Linked DNA regions of Stegostoma tigrinum. The protein of the gene in region 2 purifies or fractionates together with the protein of the main gene of each other region. This does not show direct contact. Links are inferred from orthologs where the notes say so. Each region holds a gene or a part of one and is shown on either strand. Other genes may lie near its edges.

The links.
Region 1: the proteins of trim25 (region 2) and g3bp2a purify together in Homo sapiens (affinity purification with mass spectrometry; 4 studies listed by BioGRID and IntAct, counting the BioPlex papers as one, with this or other methods). This does not show direct contact. The link is inferred for Stegostoma tigrinum from reciprocal best matches to the Homo sapiens genes TRIM25 and G3BP2.
Region 3: the proteins of trim25 (region 2) and g3bp1 purify together in Homo sapiens (affinity purification with mass spectrometry; 4 studies listed by BioGRID and IntAct, with this or other methods). This does not show direct contact. The link is inferred for Stegostoma tigrinum from reciprocal best matches to the Homo sapiens genes TRIM25 and G3BP1.

What each region holds. Positions count from the first base shown.
Region 1 is NC_081354.1:2,800,203-2,807,201, forward strand, and holds the start of g3bp2a (ras GTPase-activating protein-binding protein 2), read left to right. Parts: upstream 1-3,942; 5' UTR 3,943-4,086; intron 4,087-6,987; 5' UTR 6,988-6,999.
Region 2 is NC_081375.1:3,342,152-3,349,093, forward strand, and holds the start of trim25 (E3 ubiquitin/ISG15 ligase TRIM25), read left to right. Parts: upstream 1-3,890; 5' UTR 3,891-4,012; coding exon 4,013-4,618; intron 4,619-6,942.
Region 3 is NC_081366.1:16,882,581-16,890,009, reverse strand, and holds the start of g3bp1 (ras GTPase-activating protein-binding protein 1), read right to left. Parts: upstream 3,108-7,429; 5' UTR 2,992-3,107; exon of another isoform or gene 2,761-2,991; intron 1,168-2,760; 5' UTR 1,146-1,167; coding exon 1,051-1,145; intron 1-1,050. UniProt on the Homo sapiens protein: Protein involved in various processes, such as stress granule formation and innate immunity. Plays an essential role in stress granule formation.

The DNA.
Region 1 (6,999 bases), on a different chromosome or scaffold from region 2:
AAAATGACAAACAGCAGTGGACCCAACACCGACCCTTGCAGTACACCACTAGTAACTGGTCTCCAGGATGAACATTTCCCATCAACTACCACCCTCTTTACCCATAGCATTCAACGAAGAGAAATAGATCCTCCTGTTGCAAGACCGGCAGGTCACATTTTATTCTTGTGAAATAAATTGACCCCCTTTTTGGAAGGATTTTTTGAAGCTACAAAGTCCAATTTACACGCTGTCATCTATGATAATGGAACATAGATCTTGACAGTACTCATTTTAATTTTGTTAATGATATAATAACGTTCCTCTTCAAAAATTAGGGAACGATACCGTCTGAAAACAAGATTCTTTTCTACACACGCTGTCACAATTGATGCCTTTCCTCATTTCCAAGAAACATGCATGGCCTTTGAAACAGGTGTTTAAAAAGAATTGAAGTAACCAGTTTTGTGGCCCAGCACATTGTTACCTGAATAGGTCATGGAAACAGGTCATTTTTCTACTATGAAAGTATAGTTTCTAATATATTTCAGTATTTTTATTGGTTTTCCAGAAAATGAATGCCTGAATACACCCTATCTTTCACCTTTCTCTATCTCCCTTTCTCTTTCTCTCACTCACCCTGTTTCTTTCACTTATTTCCAATTCTGGCTTTTTTATTTCGCTTGGCAGTACAAAGAAATTTTCTTTATGATCCAGATATATGTGCCGAAATGTTTATGATATACACCAAATGGCAATTTTGGGGAATGTGGAGATCAGAGTTCTAGACAACCTTCATTTTCTCAAATGACTAAATGAGTCCATTTCTTTTGAGTAGAACTTTATCACTGTTACTATCAGCTGGAATTTCTGCCTAATATGAATATTGGATGGCTTATTATGTGTTCTACATTTTGCAAATCACAATGCAATTTCAATGATACCCAGCTGCATTCTAACTGCAACTAATATGAACAACTTCTTCATATTTTGTTTTAAAATGTATAAGCTCTTATCTACAATAACACTCAACACTGAAGCCCCACACCCCCGCCCCGACCCGGGATGCAGCCTCAGCCCTCTACTGTGCTCCCTGTACACCTACAACTGTGTTGCCAAATTCCAAATAAAATTCCCTTCTACAAGTTCACTGATGACATCAGTCAACTGGGACGCATATCTAACAACAACGAGTCAAAATGCAGAAGGGAGACAGACCTCTTGGTGACGTGATGAAAACAATCTGTCTTTCAATGTCTGCAAAACTAAAGAACTGATCATCAACTTCAGAAAGAAGGAACGAGAAGTTCCTCGGAGTCACAAAAACCGATAACCTGTCCTGGACCTCCTACATAGATGCGACAGTCAGAAAGGCACAAGAACGCCTCTTCTTCCACAAGCGGTCAGGAAATTTGACATGTCCATAATGTCCCTCACCAACTTCTACAGATGCGACACTGAAAGCATCTTGTCTGGGTGCAACTGCTCTACCCAGGACCATAACAAACTACAGAAGGTGGATGTGCACAGCTCAGCCCATCATGGAAGCCAATCTTCCATCCATTTACACGGCTCACTGCTGCAGAAAGGCGACCAACGTCATCAAAGACCCATCACAGCCCAGTAATGATCTCCTACAGCCTCTTCTGTCAGGCAGAAGATACAGAAGCCTGAACACGCGCAGAAGCAGATTCAGAAACAGCTTATTTCTTTACCAGACTGTTGAATGGACTTTCGACTCAAATAAAGTAGCCCGTATGCCTCTAAGTCTTGTTAATCTCTACATCCTTTGCTTGGTGTGATCTGCCTGTACCGGTCTTAATTAGAACTTTTCAGTGTACTTTGGTACATGTGACAATAAATCAATCAATCAAATAAAAGTCTCTCTAAGTCCTTTTGTACTTTGATTCGTCTTCGTTAGATATCTATCCCACTATGGTGTGTTGTCAGCAAAATTGTAGATGGTGTTCGTTCAAAATTTGCAACGCAGCTGTAGGTGTACAGGGTTAAGACCAGTTAAGCGTTTATGTTCCAACCCTCTTGAGATAAACGATAACACTACATTCACTTTCTTAATCACGGACTCTACCTGCAAGTTAACTTTTATAGAATCCTGGACCAACACTCCCAGATCCCTTTGTACTTCTGCTTTGTGAATTTTCTCACCGTTTAGAAAATAGTCCATGCCTGTATTCTTTTTTCCAAAGTGTAAAATCTCACATTTGCTCACATTGAATTTCATCAGCCATTTCCGGGACCACTCTCCTAAACTATCTAAATCTTTCTGCAGCCTCCCCACCTCCTCAGTACTATCTGCCTGTCCACCTATCTTTGTATCATCAGCAAACTTCGCCAGAATGCCCCCAGACCCTTCATCCAGATCATTAATATATAAAGTGAACAGCTGTGGCCCCAACACTGAACTCTGCGGGACATCACTTGTCACTGGTTGCCATTCCAAAAAAGAGACTTTTATCCCAACTCTGCCTTCTGTCAGACAGCCAATCGTCAATCCAAGCCAGCAGCTCACCTCGAACACCATGGGCCCTCACCTTACTCAGCAGCCTCCCGTCAGGCACCTTATCAAAGGCCTTTTGGAAGTCTAGATAGATAACATCCACTGGGTTTCCCTGGTCTAACCTACTTGTTACCTCTTCAAAGAATTTGAGTGATATTGAGTGGAGTGTTATTGTGGAGGAGGTGCAGTTACCAACCTCACTGATTGTGGGCCAGAGGGCGGGACCGCGGTCAAGGTCACACAGTTTTGGTCAGAAGTTACACGACACCAGGTTATAGTTAAACAGGTTAACTCCAGAACACGAAATAAATCTGTTGGGCTCCAAGCTGGTGTCACGTGGCTTCTGGCCTCGGCCAGTCCAACACGAGCACCTCCACAGGTGAAGGTTTGCGATCAGCCCGGAGGGAGAACGATGTTGAAGGTGGAGTCAGCAGGGGCCTGGGGTAAGTGAGCTCACTGAATGGCGGGACAGGCTCAATGGGCCGAGCGGCCTCCGCCAACCTCTGATTTTTTTTGTTTGGTCCAGAACTGCGCCTCCCATAAAGGGGCCAAAAGGATCCTCCTGGCTCCGTCCCCGCCTCACACTAAAACTATCCCAGTGCCGAAGGGCCTGAAACCGACAAAACCGCTCAGCCCCGCCCCTCAGGTTAAACATTTACCGGGGGGGGGGGCAGGTTAGAGTGTGACACCCGGGGGGGGGGCAGGTTAGAGTGTGACATCCGGGGGCAGGTTAGAGTGTGACATCCGGGGGCAGGTTAGAGTGTGGCACCCGGGGGGGGCAGGTTAGAGTGTGACACCCGGGGGGGGGCAGGTTAGAGTGTGACACCCGGGGGCAGGTTAGAGTGTGACATCCGGGGGCAGGTTAGAGTGTGACACCCGGGGGGGGGCAGGTTAGAGTGTGACATCCGGGGGCAGGTTAGAGTGTGGCACCCGGGGGGGGCAGGTTAGAGTGTGACACCCGGGGGGGGGCAGGTTAGAGTGTGACACCCGGGGGGGGGCTGGTTAGAGTGTGACATCCGGGGGCAGGTTAGAGTGTGACACCCGGGGGCTGGTTAGAGTGTGACATCCGGGGGCAGGTTAGAGTGTGGCACCCGGGGGGGGCTAGTTAGAGTGTGACATCCGGGGGCAGGTTAGAGTGTGACACCCGGGGGCTGGTTAGAGTGTGACACCCGGGGGGGCAGGTTAGAGTGTGGCACCCGGGGGGGCTGGTTAGAGTGTGACACCCGGGGGCCGGTTAGAGTGTGACACCCGGGGGCTGGTTAGAGTGTGACACCCGGGGGCTGGTTAGAGTGTGACATCCGGGGGCAGGTTAGAGTGTGACACCCGGGGGGGCTGGTTAGAGTGTGACACCCGGGGGGTGTAAGAGGAAATCCCATCGTGTGAGACACGCGGGAGCAAGGGGCAGAGGGGACCGGATGTAGTGTGACGCTGCGGGGAAGCGGATAGAATGTGACTTTGGAGGAGGCGGTTTGGGGGTGGGGGGGACCGGTTAGAGTGTGACGCCGCGCTGCCGGACACTTCCTCCTGACGCACACGCGGTAACGGCCGAGCTCGGAGCCGCCGCCTCTTTCCCGGAGCCGGAGCCGCAGGTACCGGGGGCGCGGGAGGGAAACCGGCCGGAACCTTCCGGCTCTCGCCTCTGCGCGAATCTGCCCGCTCCCTGCATTGATCTAGCGCCCAGAGCCTGAGCAAAACCTTCCCCCGAATCATCCGTTCCTCCCCCCCCCCCCAGCTTCAACCCCCCCCACCCCCCCCGCTTCAACCCCCCCACCCCCCCCGCTTCATCCCCCCCACCCCCCCGCTTCATCCCCCCCACCCCCCCCGCTTCATCCCCCCCCCACCCCCCCCAGCTTCAACCCCCCCCCAGCTTCAACCCCCCCCACCCCCCAGCTTCATCCCCCCCACCCCCCCGCTTCATCCCCCCCCCACCCCCCCCGCTTCATCCCCCCCTCCCCCCTGCTTCAACCCCCCCCCCACCCCCCCCAGCTTCAACCCCCCCCCAGCTTCAACCCCCCCCACCCCCCAGCTTCAACCCCCCCCAGCTTCAACCCCCCCCCCACCCCCCCCAGCTTCAACCCCCCCCAGCTTCAACCCCCCCCAGCTTCAACCCCCCCCCGCCCCCCAGCTTCAACCCCCCCTCCGCTTCACCCCCCCCACTCTACATCCCCCACACCCAACACTCCCCACCCCCCTTTCACACCTCCACCCCCACTTCACAACCCCCACTCCATTCCTGCCCTCCTCTCCAGTCTTACCCCCCCCCCTCCCAGACTCTCCAGTACCCCCCCCCCCCCCCCCCCCCCCCCCCCGGAGATCCTGAACGGTCTTGGCGGATTGTATGTGGAAAGGATGTTTCCTTTTCTGGGATTATCCTAAACTAGATTGAAAATGAACAACTTGTCATTTAAAACAGACAAGGTGTAGCTGTCAGAGTAACTCCCTTCCTGAGGTGGTGGTGGAAACAGCCTTTAAATACATTGAAGGCAGAGGTGGAAAGGTGAGGAGTAAAAGGTTTTTAGGTTTAGGCAGGAATGTGGAGTAATCAGATCTGCCACAATCCTGTTGAGAGGCCAAGTGGCCGCCTCCTATTTCAATGTTCGTAGAGTCATAGAGATATACAGCATGGAAACAGACCCTTCAGTCCAGTTCGTCCATGCTGACCAAGTTTCCTAAATTAATCTAACCCCGTTTGCCATGAGCTGCCAGAGGAAGTGCTGGAGGCTCATATAATTACAATAGTGTGCTTTACAAGCTTTGATGGAGGCATGGAAAGGGAACAAGAAATTATCAGGCCATAAGGAAAGAATGCCAAAATGTAATTAATTGGAGAACTCCTAAAGGAAAATGGTGCCTTGCATAAAGTCTGATTCTTTATATACTTTGAAGGGTGTAATTTCATTAGAGGCTGTTTGTAGGAGGCTCACCACATTAATTCCAAAAATGAGGGGTTTGTTTTATGGAGAGAGATTGAGCAGTTTAGAAGAATGAGAGATGATCTAATTGAGGTTTACAAGATGCTACAGTGGGTTGACAAAGTAGACAGAGCAGATGTTGTGGTGCATTGGAGAATGAGAGGTCATAGTTTTGAGACTACAGGGTGGCACATTTAAAACAGATGAGAAATTACTTCCCCAAAGAACTGTCAAATCTGTGGAATTCACTACTCCAGAGTGAGGTGGACACCAGGACACTAAATAGTTTTGAGGAGATGGACAGATTTTTGATTAGTACTGGGTCAAAGAGTTACATAGAGCTGGCAGGGAAGGCCAAGATGAGCTCAGCCATGATTGTATTGATTGGCAGAACAGGCTCGAGAGGCTAAATGGCCTACTCCTGCACCTAGTTCTTATGAAATAAAAGTTGTGTGGGAGATTAGTGTGAAACAGCAATGCATTTCCTTGGATGGTATATCCAGGAAAAAAATCCTGTTTTTGACCAGTTTTTATTATCTGAATAAGGTCCTTTGCACTGGATGTAAATGTTTTACTACATTTACAATGCAACACAAATGTTGAATGTTTCTCTCCTTCAGACTGCTAATGCTGAGGTACTCACTTCTCTCTCAGTCACAGCAGTGAAAAGTAAAAAAGCTCTTAGTGATGTTATTATTTCCATAAATTTATAAGCAAGGGTAAATTTATTTGCTGAAGTAATGGAGCTATACTCAACCCTACTCAGTAATCAGATTAAAATAATTTAAACATTGCAACTTATTTCAAAATGATCGGGTAACATGTTTGACCAAGGCTTCCAATGAGTTGACCACATTTTGTTCAAGTTTACTAACTGTTTTCTGAGAGTGTGTTTTAAACCCTAGCTTTAAGATCGGGGCTTCACTGACAGAATGAGATCACCGATGTGCACCCTCTTGGTGTGTTGTTAGTCAGGAGGTAAAACGCAAGCATATTCATGTATGTATATTCTTCACGTACGTGGACACGTTCAAAATTGATGTCCTGCTCTATGGTTCAGTTGATATAATCTGCTCTTTCCTTGCATCATTTCGTTTTGACGGTACATGTTGCCATGTTGTCAAAAAGCTATCTTTATGGACTGAAGTCATGGAAGGTGTTGGAATAAAGTGTGAGAAAGGTTGTTGCTAAAATACAAATATTTAGCTCAGAGGACCTATAATTCAAAGTTTCATAACTGAAATGATTCAAAATTGTGTATGACCGCAGTACCACATTGTTCATTAATTCATATTAGATTGTTTTTGAATTCAAAAACAATCTAATTTAGATTTGCCCTTTGAGAAATTGCAGTGTTGCTGGGGGCTGCATAGTTGTGACATTTATGTTCCCGTTTCGTGGTTTACATGATACAAGTTGGACATTTGTATCGTACTTGCTCGCTTACTTCATTTCTAATGTCTTTTTGGGCTGGTTGTCAGGTGAGAGTGGGAGAATGTAGTGGTGATTATTTATGCTTATTTGACACTAGCGTTTATCTAACAGAGTAAGTAACTAACACTTTCCATTCTCCTTCAGCAAGCAACATTG
Region 2 (6,942 bases):
TTTTGTAATGTCCTGTCTGCTCCTTATTGCAAACAGTTTGACTTTTTTTTTGAGATGGTGCAAACTGTCCACATTCTGTTCTCCTAGTCCAAAAAGGTGGGAGATTCCAGAGGGACACATTGGCCAGGTATCTCCTTGTGGTTCACCAGGGACCCAATGGTCAGTCAGTGTATTACGGTTTACCCAAGGCCAAAATGGACTTGACCTGTGCTATCAATTTATGTGCCACCTTTCCAATGTGTTTTGATGCCAATCTGCTGGTTTAAGGTGTCCAAAGCAATAGATCAGTAAATCTGGATGCAAAATACCACAACAGACATTGTTGTTTGGAGTGTGCAGGTGCTAGAGGCTCAATTAAGATTTCAAGGAATTGGTCATTTTCAAGTTACAGTGAAGAGTAGTTAGCATTATCATGGGCAATGACCAACTCTACCAGAAGCTCAACATTGGACAAGAAATTAGTTTTTTGACAGAAGTAGACCAGATGCAGTTCCACAAATTATGTTTAAAAAAAGTGGTATTTTACAAAATTTGTGAAGGCCTCAATCAACAGTTACAGGTCTACAGTTTAGAGAAACAAACTGCTTTGATCCTACCTTGATAAAACTGATTAATTAGAAACGACTGCAATAAGTCTGTTCCAGCGTACAGGGATGGTGTGTCAGCAGAAAAATTATTGTTGATAATTTTAGATTTTGAATAAATTTAAGGAGCAAATACACAGATTTTTAATTAATAATAGGTTAAGGGTTATCAGGAGCAGTGGAGCTGAAGCTGACATGAGATCAGCCATGAATATATTGAAAGATGCGCAGGTCCAAGGGGCTGAATTGACGTAACAATGATTCAGAGTAAACCACAGTAATGTGTCATAATCTCCACCTGCTTTCATAACAAAATACCAGCTGATGTTCAGGAGTTCATCTCCTAATACATGCATTGTGTAATTTTTTGGGTGGTGCCAGTAATTGGTCACTTAGTGAGCTCACGCTGATCACAAATCACCTGAGGAGCTCCAGGAGCCAAGCAAGATTAATTTTTTTTTAATGTATTCTGCACTGAGAATGAATTTTGGTGCGAACTGATTTTGTTTGCTGCCATGTGTACCAAATGAATTAATGTTTGTAAGATAACCAAGTGTGGAGCTGGATGAACACAGCAGGCCAAGCAGCATCTCAGGAGCACAAAAGCTGATGTTTCGGGCCGAGACCCTTCATCAGAGAGGGGGATGGGGAGAGGGTGTCCCCGCCTCCCTAACCTGTTCTTCCTCTCACCTATCCCTTCCTCCCACCTCAAGCCGCACCTCCATTTCCTACCTACTAACCTCATCCCACCGCCTTGACCTGTCCGTCTTCCCTGGACTGACCTATCCCCTCCCTACCTATACTCTCCTCTCCACCTATCTTCTTTTCTCTCCATCTTCGGTCCGCCTCCCCCTCTCTCCCTATTTATTCCAGAACCCTCTCCCCATCCCCCTCTCTGATGAAGGGTCTAGGCCTGAAACGTCAGCTTTTGTGCTCCTGAGATGCCACTTGGCCTGCTGTGTTCATCCAGCCTCACACTTGGTTATCTTGGATTCTCCAGCATCTGCAGTTCCCATTATCTCTGAGTTAATGTTTGTGTTTGGTTTATTGTTGTCACATGAGACGGCGAAAAGCAGGAACAAAAACAGAAGTTTCTGGAAAAGCTCAGCCGGTCTGGCAGCATCTGTGAAGAAAATGTCAGACCTAATATTTTGGGTGCGGTGACCCTTCCTCAGAACTGTGAAAAGTGTTTCTTTGTGTGCTATACAGACAGATCAAAATTCTGAACATGTTGCACAGTCTGGAGGTGGAGACAGTGAGTTCTACACCAGCCTTGGTGAACAGCAGAGGTGCACAACACAGCTCCTCTCAGTCTCCATCTCAGGCAACCAGCTTGTAACCGATGTCCATTTCAAGCCCACCGACTCCCACAGCTACCTAGAATACACCTCCTCCCACCCACCCTCCTGCAAAAATTCCATCCCCTATTCCCAATTCCTCCGCCTCCGCCGCATCTGCTCCCACGATGAGGCATTCCACTCCCGCACATCCCAGATGTGCAAGTTCTTTAAGGACCGCAACTTTCCCCCCACAGTGGTCGAGAACGCCCTTGACCACATCTCCCGCATTTCCTGCAACACATCCCTCACACCCCGCCCCCGCCACAACCGCCCAAAGAGGATCCCCCTCGTTCTCACACACCACCCTACCAACCTCCGGATACAACGCATCATCCTCCGACACTTCCGCCATTTACAATCCGACCCCACCACCCAAGACATTTTTCCATCCCCACCCCTGTCTGCTTTCCGGAGAGACCACTCTCTCCGTGACTCCCTTGTTCGCTCCACACTGCCCTCCAACCCCACCACATCCAGCACTTTCCCCTGCAACCGCAGGAAATGCTACACTTGCCCGCACACCTGCTCCCTCACCCCTATCCCAGGCCCCAAGATGACTTTCCATATTAAGCAGAGGTTCACCTGCACATCTGCCAATGTGGTATACTGTATCCACTGTACCCGGTGTGGCTTCCTCTACATTGGGGAAACCAAGCGGAGGCTTGGGGACCGCTCCGCAGAACACCTCCGCTCGGTTCGCAATAAACAACTGCACCTCCCAGTCGCAAACCATTTCCACTCCCCCTCCCATTCTTTAGATGACATGTCCATCATGGGCCTCCTGCAGTGCCTCAATGATGCCACCCGAAGGTTGCAGGAACAGCAACTCAAATTCCGCTTGGGAACCCTGCAGCCCAATGGTATCAATGTGGACTTCACCAGCTTCAAAATCTCCCCTTCCCCCACCGCATCCCAAAACCAGCCCAGTTCATCCCCTCCCCCCACTGCACCACACAACCAGCCCAGCTCTTCCCCTCCACCCACTGCATCCCAAAACCAGTCCAGCCTGTCTCCGCCTCCCTAACCTGTTCTTCCTCTCACCCATCCCTTCCTCCCACCCCAAGCCGCACCTCCATCTCCTACCTACTAACCTCATCCCACCTCCTTGACCGGTCCGTCTTCCCTGGACTGACCTATCCCCTCCCTACCTCCCCACCTATACTCTCCTCTCCACCTATCTTCTTTTCTCTCCATCTTCAGTCCGCCTCCCCCTTCTCCCTATTTATTCCAGAACCCTCACCCCATCCCCCTCTCTGATGAAGGGTCTAGGCCCGAAACGTCAGCTTTTGTGCTCCCGGGATGCTGCTGGGCCTGCTGTGTTCATCCAGCCTCACATTTTATTATCCAAAGATTTATGCCTGACTAGAATGTAGCTGTACTTAATGCGGTATGAAACAAATCATCTTGTTAAGTAACTTCTGTTGAAAATACTGAGTAGTGGGGTATCTTTGATCATTGCATAGATCCTAGATAAAGAATCTGTGAAGGAGAAAACAGAGTTAGGGGTCACTGGACCGCAAACGTTAACTGTTTTCTCCTTCACAGATGCTGCCAGACCTGCTGAGCTTTTCCAGCAACTTCTGTTTTTGTTCCTCAAACAACTGTTTCCTTGTAATAAAACAAAGAACTACAAATGCTGGCAATCTGAAATTGCTGGCGAAACCCAGCAAGTCTGGCAGCATCTATGGGAAGAAAGTCAGTGACTCTTCATTAGAACTGACTGTGGTGCAGATATCATGAGCGATCTCCAGTGACACAGCAGTCTCACAGTCAAACCTCAATATTGCTGGAGGAATTCGGCAGATCTGGAAGCATCTTGGGAGAGAAAGTGTTTCAAATCCAACAGCCCTTCTTCTGGGATGGGGGTGAGGGAGGAGCTGTAGCACTTCCTGCGGGTGCAGGTGGGGGGTCGGGCAGGAAGGGATACACGGAGGGGGTGGGGCCAGGATGGGCGGAACGCCCAGGGGGCGGGGTCGGAGCCGTCACGTGCCCGCCGCCGCGGAAACCCGCCGCGGGTCACGTGCCCGCGGAAACCCCGCCACGGGTCACGTGCCCAGAGCTCGTGCCGCGTTGTCCGCAGCGGCGGCGATGGCGGTGGTGTCTGGGGAGACGGAGCGCCTGGAGGCTGAGCTGACGTGTGCCGTTTGCCTGGACCTGTTCCGGGAGCCGGTGACGGCGCCGTGCGGCCACAATTTCTGCCGGAGCTGCCTGGCGCAGTTCTGGGCCGGGGACCGGCACCACCTCCTCGGCTTCACCTGCCCGCAGTGCCGCCGTCACTTCTCCGAGAGGCCCGAGCTGCAGCCCAACCGTGTCCTGTGCGCCGTGGTCGAGGAGTTCGAGCGGAGCCGGGCCCAGGCCGAGCCCAAGACCCAGGTCGCTGAGGCCGAGCCGCCGCCTGCCGTGGCCTGCGATGCGTGTCCTCCCGGAGCCGGGGCCTTGGCGGTCCGCAGCTGCCTGACTTGCCTGGCCTCCTTCTGCGCTGAGCACCTGGAGCCGCACCAACAGAGCGCGGCCTTCCGCACCCACAACCTGCAGCCCCCGCTGGCTGACCTGGCCGAGCGCCTCTGCCCCAGCCATGGCAACCTGCTCGAATTCTACTGTCGCCCCCACAGCAGCTGCATCTGCGCCGCCTGCCTCCTGGATCACCGCGGCTGTGACACCCAGAGAATGGAGGAGGCCCGAAGGCAGCAGGAGGTGGGGTGGGGGGGGAGGGGTTAAACAAGGCGACACCTGGGGAGGTGGAGTGGCCAAGGGGACTGTGGGGTGAGGGGGGGCGAACAAGGGGGACTGTGGGGTCGCGGGGGGGGGGGGGGCGAACGAGGAGGACTGTGGGGTCGCGGGGGGGGGGGGCGAACGAGGGGGACTGTGGAGTGAGGGGGGGGCGAACGAGGGGGACTGTGGAGTCGCGGGGGGGGGGGCGAACGAGGGGGACTGTGGAGTGAGGGGGGGGCGAACGAGGGGGACTGTGGAGTGAGGGGGGGCGAACGAGGGGGACTGTGGAGTGAGGGGGGGGCGAACGAGGGGGACTGTGGAGTGAGGGGGGGCGAACGAGGGGGACTGTGGAGTGAGGGGGGGGCGAACGAGGGGGACTGTGGGGTGAGGGGGGGCGAACGAGGGGGACTGTGGGGTGAGGGGGGGCGAACGAGGGGGACTGTGGGGTGAGGGGGGGCGAACGAGGGGGACTGTGGGGTGAGGGGGGGCGAACGAGGGGGACTGTGGGGTGAGGGGGGGCGAACGAGGGGGACTGTGGGGTGAGGGGGGGCGAACGAGGGGGACTGTGGGGTGAGGGGGGGCGAACGAGGGGGACTGTGGGGTGAGGGGGGGCGAACGAGGGGGACTGTGGGGTGAGGGGGGGCGAACGAGGGGGACTGTGGGGTGAGGGGGGGCGAACGAGGGGGACTGTGGGGTGAGGGGGGGCGAACGAGGGGGACTGTGGGGTGAGGGGGGGCGAACGAGGGGGACTGTGGGGTGAGGGGGGGCGAACGAGGGGGACTGTGGGGTGAGGGGGGGCGAACGAGGGGGACTGTGGGGTGAGGGGGGGCGAACGAGGGGGACTGTGGGGTGAGGGGGGGCGAACGAGGGGGACTGTGGGGTGAGGGGGGGCGAACGAGGGGGACTGTGGGGTGGCGGGGGGCGAACGAGGGGGACTGTGGGGTGGCGGGGCGCGAACGAGGGGGACTGTGGGGTGGCGGGGCGGGGGGCGAACGAGGGGGACTGTGGGGTGGCGGGGCGGGGGGCGAACGAGGGGGACTGTGGGGTGGCGGGGCGGGGGGCGAACGAGGGGGACTGTGGGGTGGCGGGGCGGGGGGCGAACGAGGGGGACTGTGGGGTGAGGGGGGGCGAACGAGGGGGACTGTGGGGTCGCGGGGCGGGGGGCGAACGAGGGGGACTGTGGGGTGAGGGGGGGCGAACGAGGGGGACTGTGGAGTGAGGGGGGGCGAACGAGGGGGACTGTGGAGTGAGGGGGGGCGAACGAGGGGGACTGTGGGGTGAGGGGGGACGAACGAGGGGGACTGTGGGGTCGCGGGGCGGGGGACGAACGAGGGGGACTGTGGGGTGAGGGGGGACGAACGAGGGGGACTGTGGGGTGAGGGGGGACGAACGAGGAGGACTGTGGGGTGAGGGGGGACGAACGAGGAGGACTGTGGGGTGAGGGGGGACGAACGAGGAGGACTGTGGGGTGAGGGGGGACGAACGAGGGGGACTGTGGGGTGAGGGGGGACGAACGAGGAGGACTGTGGGATGAGGGGGGACGAACGAGGGGGACTGTGGGGTCGCGGGGCGGGGGGCGAACGAGGGGGACTGTGGGGTGAGGGGGGACGAACGAGGAGGACTGTGGGGTGAGGGGGGACGAACGAGGAGGACTGTGGGGTGAGGGGGGACGAACAAGGGGGACTGTGGGGTCGCGGGGGGGGGCGAACGAGGGGGACTGTGGAGTGAGGGGGGGCGAACGAGGGGGACTGTGGAGTGAGGGGGGGCGAACGAGGGGGACTGTGGAGTGAGGGGGGGCGAACGAGGGGGACTGTGGAGTGAGGGGGGGCGAACGAGGGGGACTGTGGGGTCGCGGGGCGGGGGGCGAACAAGGGGGACTGTGGGGTGAGGGGGGACGAACGAGGAGGACTGTGGGGTGAGGGGGGACGAACAAGGGGGACTGTGGGGTCGCGGGGGGGGCGAACGAGGGGGACTGTGGGGTGAGGGGGGGGCGAACGAGGGGGACTGTGGAGTGAGGGGGGGGGCGAACGAGGGGGACTGTGGGGTCGCGGGGGGGGGGGCGAACGAGGGGGACTGTGGGGTCGCGGGGGGGGCGAACGAGGGGGACTGTGGGGTCGCGGGGGGGGCGAACGAGGGGGACTGTGGGGTGAGGGGGGACGAACGAGGAGGACTGTGGGGTGAGGGGAGACGAACAAGGGGGACTGTGGGGTCGCGGGGCGGGGGGCGAACAAGGGGGACTGTGGGGTGAGGGGGGACGAACGAGGAGGACTGTGGGGTGAGGGGGGACGAACAAGGGGGACTGTGGG
Region 3 (7,429 bases), on a different chromosome or scaffold from region 2:
AAAGATCAGTGAACTGACTGGATAGCTCCAATTCAAAGTTTTGGCAGTCACATGGAATTGAGTGACTCTTTTCTGTTTAGGATTCCATGATTAGTCATCTGTGTGACTACAAACACCAGCATCAGTATTTTGGCGCACCAGTAATCCTAGTCAAAAATGGGTAGCACTGCCTACCAGTAATTTGTCATGTGAAAGATGGCAGCACATTTTAGAACTTATACCATCGATGAGGTACCAGAATCCATATTACAGCAACTCATTACAGAATTGTGTTTTTGGTGTCTCTACATGCAATGGAAATAACACCACTCAATTGAAATGAGTATATAAAAAAAAGTATCATTACTAGCTCAACTGACAGATGGATTAGCCAGTATCAAAAAGGCATACATTTCCTTACAAGTTTAAAAGTAAATATTTTACAATGCAATATTTTAATTTGAAATTAGTATGCAATTCGACTCAGTTGTTACTTATAAGAAAACATCAGGTAATCAACTATACCACACAGAAAATTTGCATCAATAATGATTATACTGGACTAACGCTTATACATTACACTACCAGTTAGAAAAACCTGATGAAAAGTAATAGCGACAAGTCTATTAACACCTTTTAAGTCCTTTGCAAAATATCACATCATAGGTTTGTTACCTTGAGTTAGTACTTTCTATAAAGTTTAATTCTGCGCAGACCTGACAGATTAGCAAAGCAATAGCTATCAACCTACAGCAAGGTGGTGCCTGAGAACTAACATACACTATTAATTCAAATTTAAGCTTCAGAATGAAAGAACTATGGCCCAAATGAACAAGTATTAGTTACAGTAACTGATACACTTTGGAGTTGGTAAAGACAGTTTATACAAAACATTGAATGCAGTCTGAAAATGGCCATTCACTTGCACATCTTTTTAAGTCTCTTGCTAATAACTTCCAAACCAATATGACCAAGCAATCCTATCTTTAGTTGATCCAGTCACACAGATTGCGCCTTGCCTTCGATCATACAAAAAAGTAGACAGCTGCAGGAAAAAAAATGCCATCTTACCTGTGTAAATAGTCAGGGGCCTGGTTCAACAGTGTGTAATACTGCCTCACAAATTCCCGCCCTACAAGCAGGGGACTTGGCTTCTCCATCACCATCTCTTTGGTCAACTGAGAATTGCTAGACAAGAAAAAAAAAACAAAGTAAACAGGACTATCTTATTATGACTTTGCAAGCTGTCCAGTTCAACTAAGGGGAGTTCAAATGGATCAAGTCAAAACTATCCAAGTACATATTTAAGTTTTGAGGGAAGAATTCAGAAGATTTAACTCAAAAGTCACAAGGGTTGTAAAACATGGTATACTGGTGTTTTATTTGGGTTCTTATAGTGAACCAAGTTTTGTTCTGCATTTGACTATGTCAGGTTGATGTGCTCAACATATCCTGAGCATCCCTTACCCTTTTGCTTACAGCATTCTTACCTGGGTAAACACTTTAAAAAAGTTAAAACTGATACAGCCAGATTAGTAATAAACATCATAACTCTCCAATATGGAGTTCCAATTTTGAAAAATAATTGCAAGTTATGTGGCTCCATCAGAAAATAAAAAGACCAGAGCTCAAAACCGTTGCAGCACTCTGATTTTCTTTTGTTTTCCTCACGCCACAGATTAATTACTGACAGACAGGAACAGGTCTTCTCAGTCTCTAACATCACCACGGACAATCCCACAAATACTAAAAGGGATTGGGGACAGTGGATTTCTAACGTCTTGCGTCAAATTACAACTATCAAACGTTGCAATTTTGCGCTTCACGCACAATCAAAATTAACTTAATTTATAAAGGATTACAATGAGGGCGCCCTCCGCCTGAACCTGCAATCCAAGGAAATGTAAACGGAGAAATTTGGCCACTCCATGTAACAAGGGCGAGGCATTTTCTTGAAAACAAAAGCTAAATGGCAAAAAGAACGGTATTGTTCTCCCCCTCTAATTGATCCACTATTTGCGTAGGATTCGCTCGCACAAGTCGCACGTTTAAGAGAAGACTCCAGCACACTTGAAATAATCTTACGTGACAGGAGAGAAGAGACACGAGTGTTCTCAAATGGGGGGGGGGGGGGGGGGTGTGGATTCGAGCCAGACAATGCCTGGCCCCTGAACACCCTTCCCGCCCTGTGGGATGGACACAAAATATGATCGGATTGCACAGGGCAGGCAGAGGCAAGGCTGAGCTCCATAACACGTGGAACTGTAGGGGACAAGTAAAAGCCTCGAGGTGTTTGGGGGGGGGCGGCTTTAACGACGCGGGAATATCGGATGGCAACCACGTGCGAGCGGGTGGGGGGGTTGATCAAGACACAGAGGCCACTTCGTCGACGATAGACTGAAGGAGGGTCCCAATCCCTTTCTGTTTACCCCCCACTCCCTTACCCGCCACCCGAGACGGGAACAAAGGCCAGACCTACCCCCACCCCCCTCCTTTCTGCCCCCCCCCCCCATCCCCGACAACGACACTACAGGCCACGACCAGACCAACAACCTCTCTCTCCCCCACCCTAAGTCGGCGAGCGGAGTCAGAGAGAAAGAGAGCGCTAGGAGGAAATCACCGGGTCTCACTCTGCAACCCACCCCCCCAACCCTCGTGTCGCTGCCGCCGCGGCCTGGTGTTTAAAATGGCGGCGGCCTGGCCTTCCCTTCCCTCACTGTCTTTTCTCTTCCACACTCTCTCCCACCCCAGGCCCCGCCACCAGCCGCTCAACTCGCTCACCGCAGGAATCCGGGGAGGAGAGAGAGTGTGAGTGAGAAGCGTAGGGGAGGCCGAACCGGGAGCTTCGATCAGGAACAGGAAGGCTGAAACCCTCCTCACCTTTCTCAATCCGCGCAATTGAAATAATTTCTTCTGGGGTTGAAGGGGCGGGGCCGGAATATTTTGGGTGGAAAAAAAATTACAAAAGTACCCGCACCGCCGAGGAGAGCGCCGGCTGAATCACACACCAACCTGCTGGGCAGAGAAGGAAGGTCTGATTGACAGCACCGACCATCAATGGGGGTGGGGGATCCACCCGCCAAGCCAATGGGGTGGTCGGTAAGGGGGCGGGGCCTGCGCCGCCAGCACGTTCGGTGGAGCGGCACCGGCTGCAGGAGCCGCGGGGAGACCCCGTAGAGGGGGCGGTGCGACCCGCCGCACTGACCAATCGCATTGGGAGGTGGTCCTGATCGACAGCTCTGAGGGCGGGTTCTGCCTGTGAAGTCGGTCCCTGCGAAAGGACAGGGTGCAAACCTGGAGGAGTAAGGGGCCAGAGTGGGAATAAAGATAGGGAGCGCTTGGAGCCCCAATGAGTAACATATCTCCCCCACCCCACCAACAGTCGGCGGTGAAATTTGAATTCTGCAAAATCCTGGAATTGTGTTCTCATTCTTCATATTAACATGCATTTTGAAATATATTCAATATAATAATTTAAAGTTTAAAATATTTTCTAAAATTTATTTTTCAATACAGAAAGATCTGTGAAGGCTTTTGAATTGAATGTAGTTATAAAGTCGGGTTGAAGCAGGCGTTAAACTTCACACCCCCCGCCTCCCCAAAAGAAGCCTGCTGTTTGTTTTACATTTCTTAGCTGAGGTGGTTCGTTATGTCACAAAAGCGGTTCATCAGGCAAGCACGGCGTCACCGATGAATCATTTCACACGTAACTCTCAATATTGGACGATTTAACATTGCTGTGTCCGGAGAGTCAAACGTATTTGCTACGATCTCTTCACGTGGGTTAGAAGAGTGATTGATTCTAGAAGGTAATGGGTCATAACCAGTTAGTTTGTTGCCCTGGTGTAGCCTAACATACCGTCTCTGCCAGTTTCAGGTGGGCTCCATGTGTTCGCTTGCTTTAATTTTGTTTTTAGTCTTGAAGGTACTTGCTACTGCTCCCTCCCATTGCTGGCTTTCAGTCCACTGGGTGCTCTATTCATGTTGATCTTTTGTTTAAAAATGGCCATTCTGCCTTTCCAGCATGCTCTCCCATCATTATGATCATTACTGATTTATTACTTCAAATAAACCTTTCTCCATTCTCTCCATATTCTTTAACTTGATTTGTATCCAGAAATCTAGTTAGCTCTTTTGTTTAAGTATAATGAACTACAGACCTTCCACAGTCCCATGACTTAGAAAATTCAAATGTTTAATTTGAAGATTGAGTGAAACTTATCAAATCATCCACGAAATCAAATCATTCCATGAAATTTTGGAATTAGATGCTCAAAAATAATAATTGCTATGATTGTAATAAAAACTAGAGTTATTTTAATCTACATGTGACTTCAGCACCACAGGAATATGGATTGACTGTTAATTGCCCTCTGAAGTGGCTTGCCAATCCACTTGAGAATTTGGAGTGACAGCAACACCCACATCACATGAAAAAATAAAGTATTTCTTTCACCTTTCTTCAGTTTTCTCTGTTCCAGAGTAAAGAGTCCCAACTAAACCATCTTTCCAAAATAACAAAGTGTGGAACTGGATGAACACAGCAGTCCAAGCAGCATCTTAGGAGCACAAAAGCTGACGTTTCGGGCCTAGACCCTTCATCAGAAAAGGGGAGGGGGAGAAGGTTCTGAAAAAAATAGGGAGAGAGGGGAAGGCAGATATAAGATGGATAGAGGAAAAGATAGGTGGAGAGGAGACAGACAAGTTAAAGGGGTGGGGATGGAGCCTGTAGAGGTGAGTGTAGGTGGGGAGGTAGGGAGGGGATAGGTCAGTCCAGGGAGGATGGACAGGTCAAGGGGGTGGGAAGAAGCTAGTAGGTAGGAGATGGGGCTGGGTATTTGGTTCTTTTGCCATTCACCATAAATTTGTCTCCCCTGTTCTCAAACTTCACTGTCCACTCTGTCCAGACCGTTGTGATTTTGAAAAGCTCCAAACATTGTTCACCTAAGGAAAATTTCTCCATCCATCCAAGTGACTGAAATCCGATCCCTGAAACATAATTTTCTTTCTTAAACCGTCTCTGAAATACTCATCTTTATTTATATTCCTGACCTTTCTTCACCTTCATATGATTTACCTCTGAATCATTTACCTTTCTTTATTATCTCTAATTTAGGAGAATAAGTTGACAAACAATAATCTTAGAAGCCCATCAGCTCCAACACGACCTTATAACACAGTGTCCAGAATTGGACAAAATACTTGAGGATGAGCAATTTTTTTCAGAAATATTCATCATAACTTCCTTCCAAATGAATGGATATGGAGAAAATGTTTCCACTCATAGGAGTGACATAAAGACACTAGAACAACGTCAGAGTGAACTGAGGTGAGGAGGAATTTCTTCAGCCAGAGCATGGCTAATCTGTGAAACCCATTGCCGCACAGGGCTGTGGAGGCCACTCATTGAGTGTATTTAAGGCAGCCATAGATAGGTTCCTGGTTGGTAAGAGAATCAAGGGTTACAGGGAGAATATGTATGAATGGAATTGAGAAACATTCCAGCCATAAACAAATGCTGGAGCAGAATTAATGGGCTGATAGGTCTAATTATGCTGTAATATCTTATGGTCTTATCATCTCTTTGCCTTATTAAGAACAGCAACAATTTTCTAAATACTTTAGCTGTGGCCTAATTCTTGTTTTATAAAGAACAGGCCCCATATGGAAAGATTGTTTAGATAGGATTCTTTACTCTGGAACAATCAATACTCTCGTGGTAGTCAACTTATCACCAATTCTTTTTTTACCAAAGTAAGTGTGCAATAAAATCCCTCAAATAATAAAATTTCTTTTTATGTTCGATGTCTATCCATGTTAATGCCTGAACATTTTGATGTACATCAGTCTTTTCTATTGTAATAAAAACAGAAAATGGTAGAAATACACAGCAGGTCAGACATGAAATAGGATAGGAAAACAGAGTTAAGAGAAATTTTATTCCTCAATTTAGATGGGTTGGGGCAAGGTGAAATGTAGTGATTTTGATTTTGCCAGACTATATTGCTGCCACAGTGGGTTTTGCCATGGTTAATGGAAACCCATTTGGTTCTGGAGAGAAACATATTTTCCAGGATTTGGGAAGCTGACCGGAGGAACAGGCAATTTTAAGCAGTCATTCAGGATGGAATTTAAACTTGTCATTTTTCCATCTGAATAAATGTTTAATTACTGCAGCTGGTCTATCAGTTCTACCTAGCAACCCTTGGCAGAAAGTTCTTGTTATGATACAGCTTTTCTCAACCTTTGAAGATTTTAAATTGGAAAGACATCTTGGGTGTGTTTGACAGAAAACTATATTGGAAGATGAAAGTAGGAGGAGATGAAAGTACAGCATTGAGTGTTCACTTCCTCATTGATAAGCACCCAGGAAAGCAGATTGATGTCATGACTAAACAATCCCTTCAGAATTGTGTGTGTCCAGGGATGATCTGATGGAATATGAATGTTGTTATTGCAAATTTGAATAAAGGAACCTGAATTTGACCCTAACAGGGAAGGGAAGAGTGAGAGCACAAATGTGGGATTGTGGAATGAACTTAATAGAGGGCCTCTTTCACATATAGTGAAAGGGAATCCTTGTTAGATGAGAAAGGAAGCCATATCAGCAGGATTGGATGTAATTTGGTATCAGCAGAACAAATGCAATGGAGTCAGAAAAACTAAGAAAATTAAATAGAGTTCTTAAAGGAACCAGGGTGAACTAGTGGAGGAAGTATAATCAAGCTAGCTATAACAGCCAGCAAAAACGACCAAAGAACTATGAATGCTAGAAATCAGAAAGCCACCATCCAAGCGGATAGAGTTGTTAAGAAGGTGTATGTTGTGGTAGCTTTCATTAATAGAGGGATGGAGTTCAAGAGCCGTGAAGTTATGCTCCAGTTATACAAAAGCATGTTCGGCCACACCTAGAGTACAGTTCTGGTCGCCTCACTACAGGAAAGATGTTGGAAGCATTGGAAAAGGTGCAGAGGAGATTTACCAGGATGTTGCCCGTGGAATGGAGAGAAGGTCTTACGAGGAAAGGTTGAAAGAGCTAGGGCTTTTCTCTTTAGAACGGTGAAGGATGAGAGGTGACTTGAAAATGATCAGAGGTATAGATAGAGTGGACAGCCAGAGACAATTTACTTGGGTGGAGGTAGCTATTACGAGAGGGGATATTTTTATAGTGAGTGGAGGTAGACATAGGGGAGACATCACAGGTAGGTTCTTTACTCAGAGAGTGGTTAGGGCGTGGAGAGAGTAGTGGAGTCAGCCTCATTAGGGCCATGTAAGTAGCTATTTGAGAGGCATATGGATGATAGTATCATACAGGGGTGGAGGTTCGATAGACCTTAGGATTAGGTTAAAAGTTCAGCACATCGTGGGCCAAATGGCCTGTAATGTGCTGTATTGTTTTATGTTCTAAAACAGAAATTGCCAGCAAAACTCAGCAGGTGTGGCAACATCT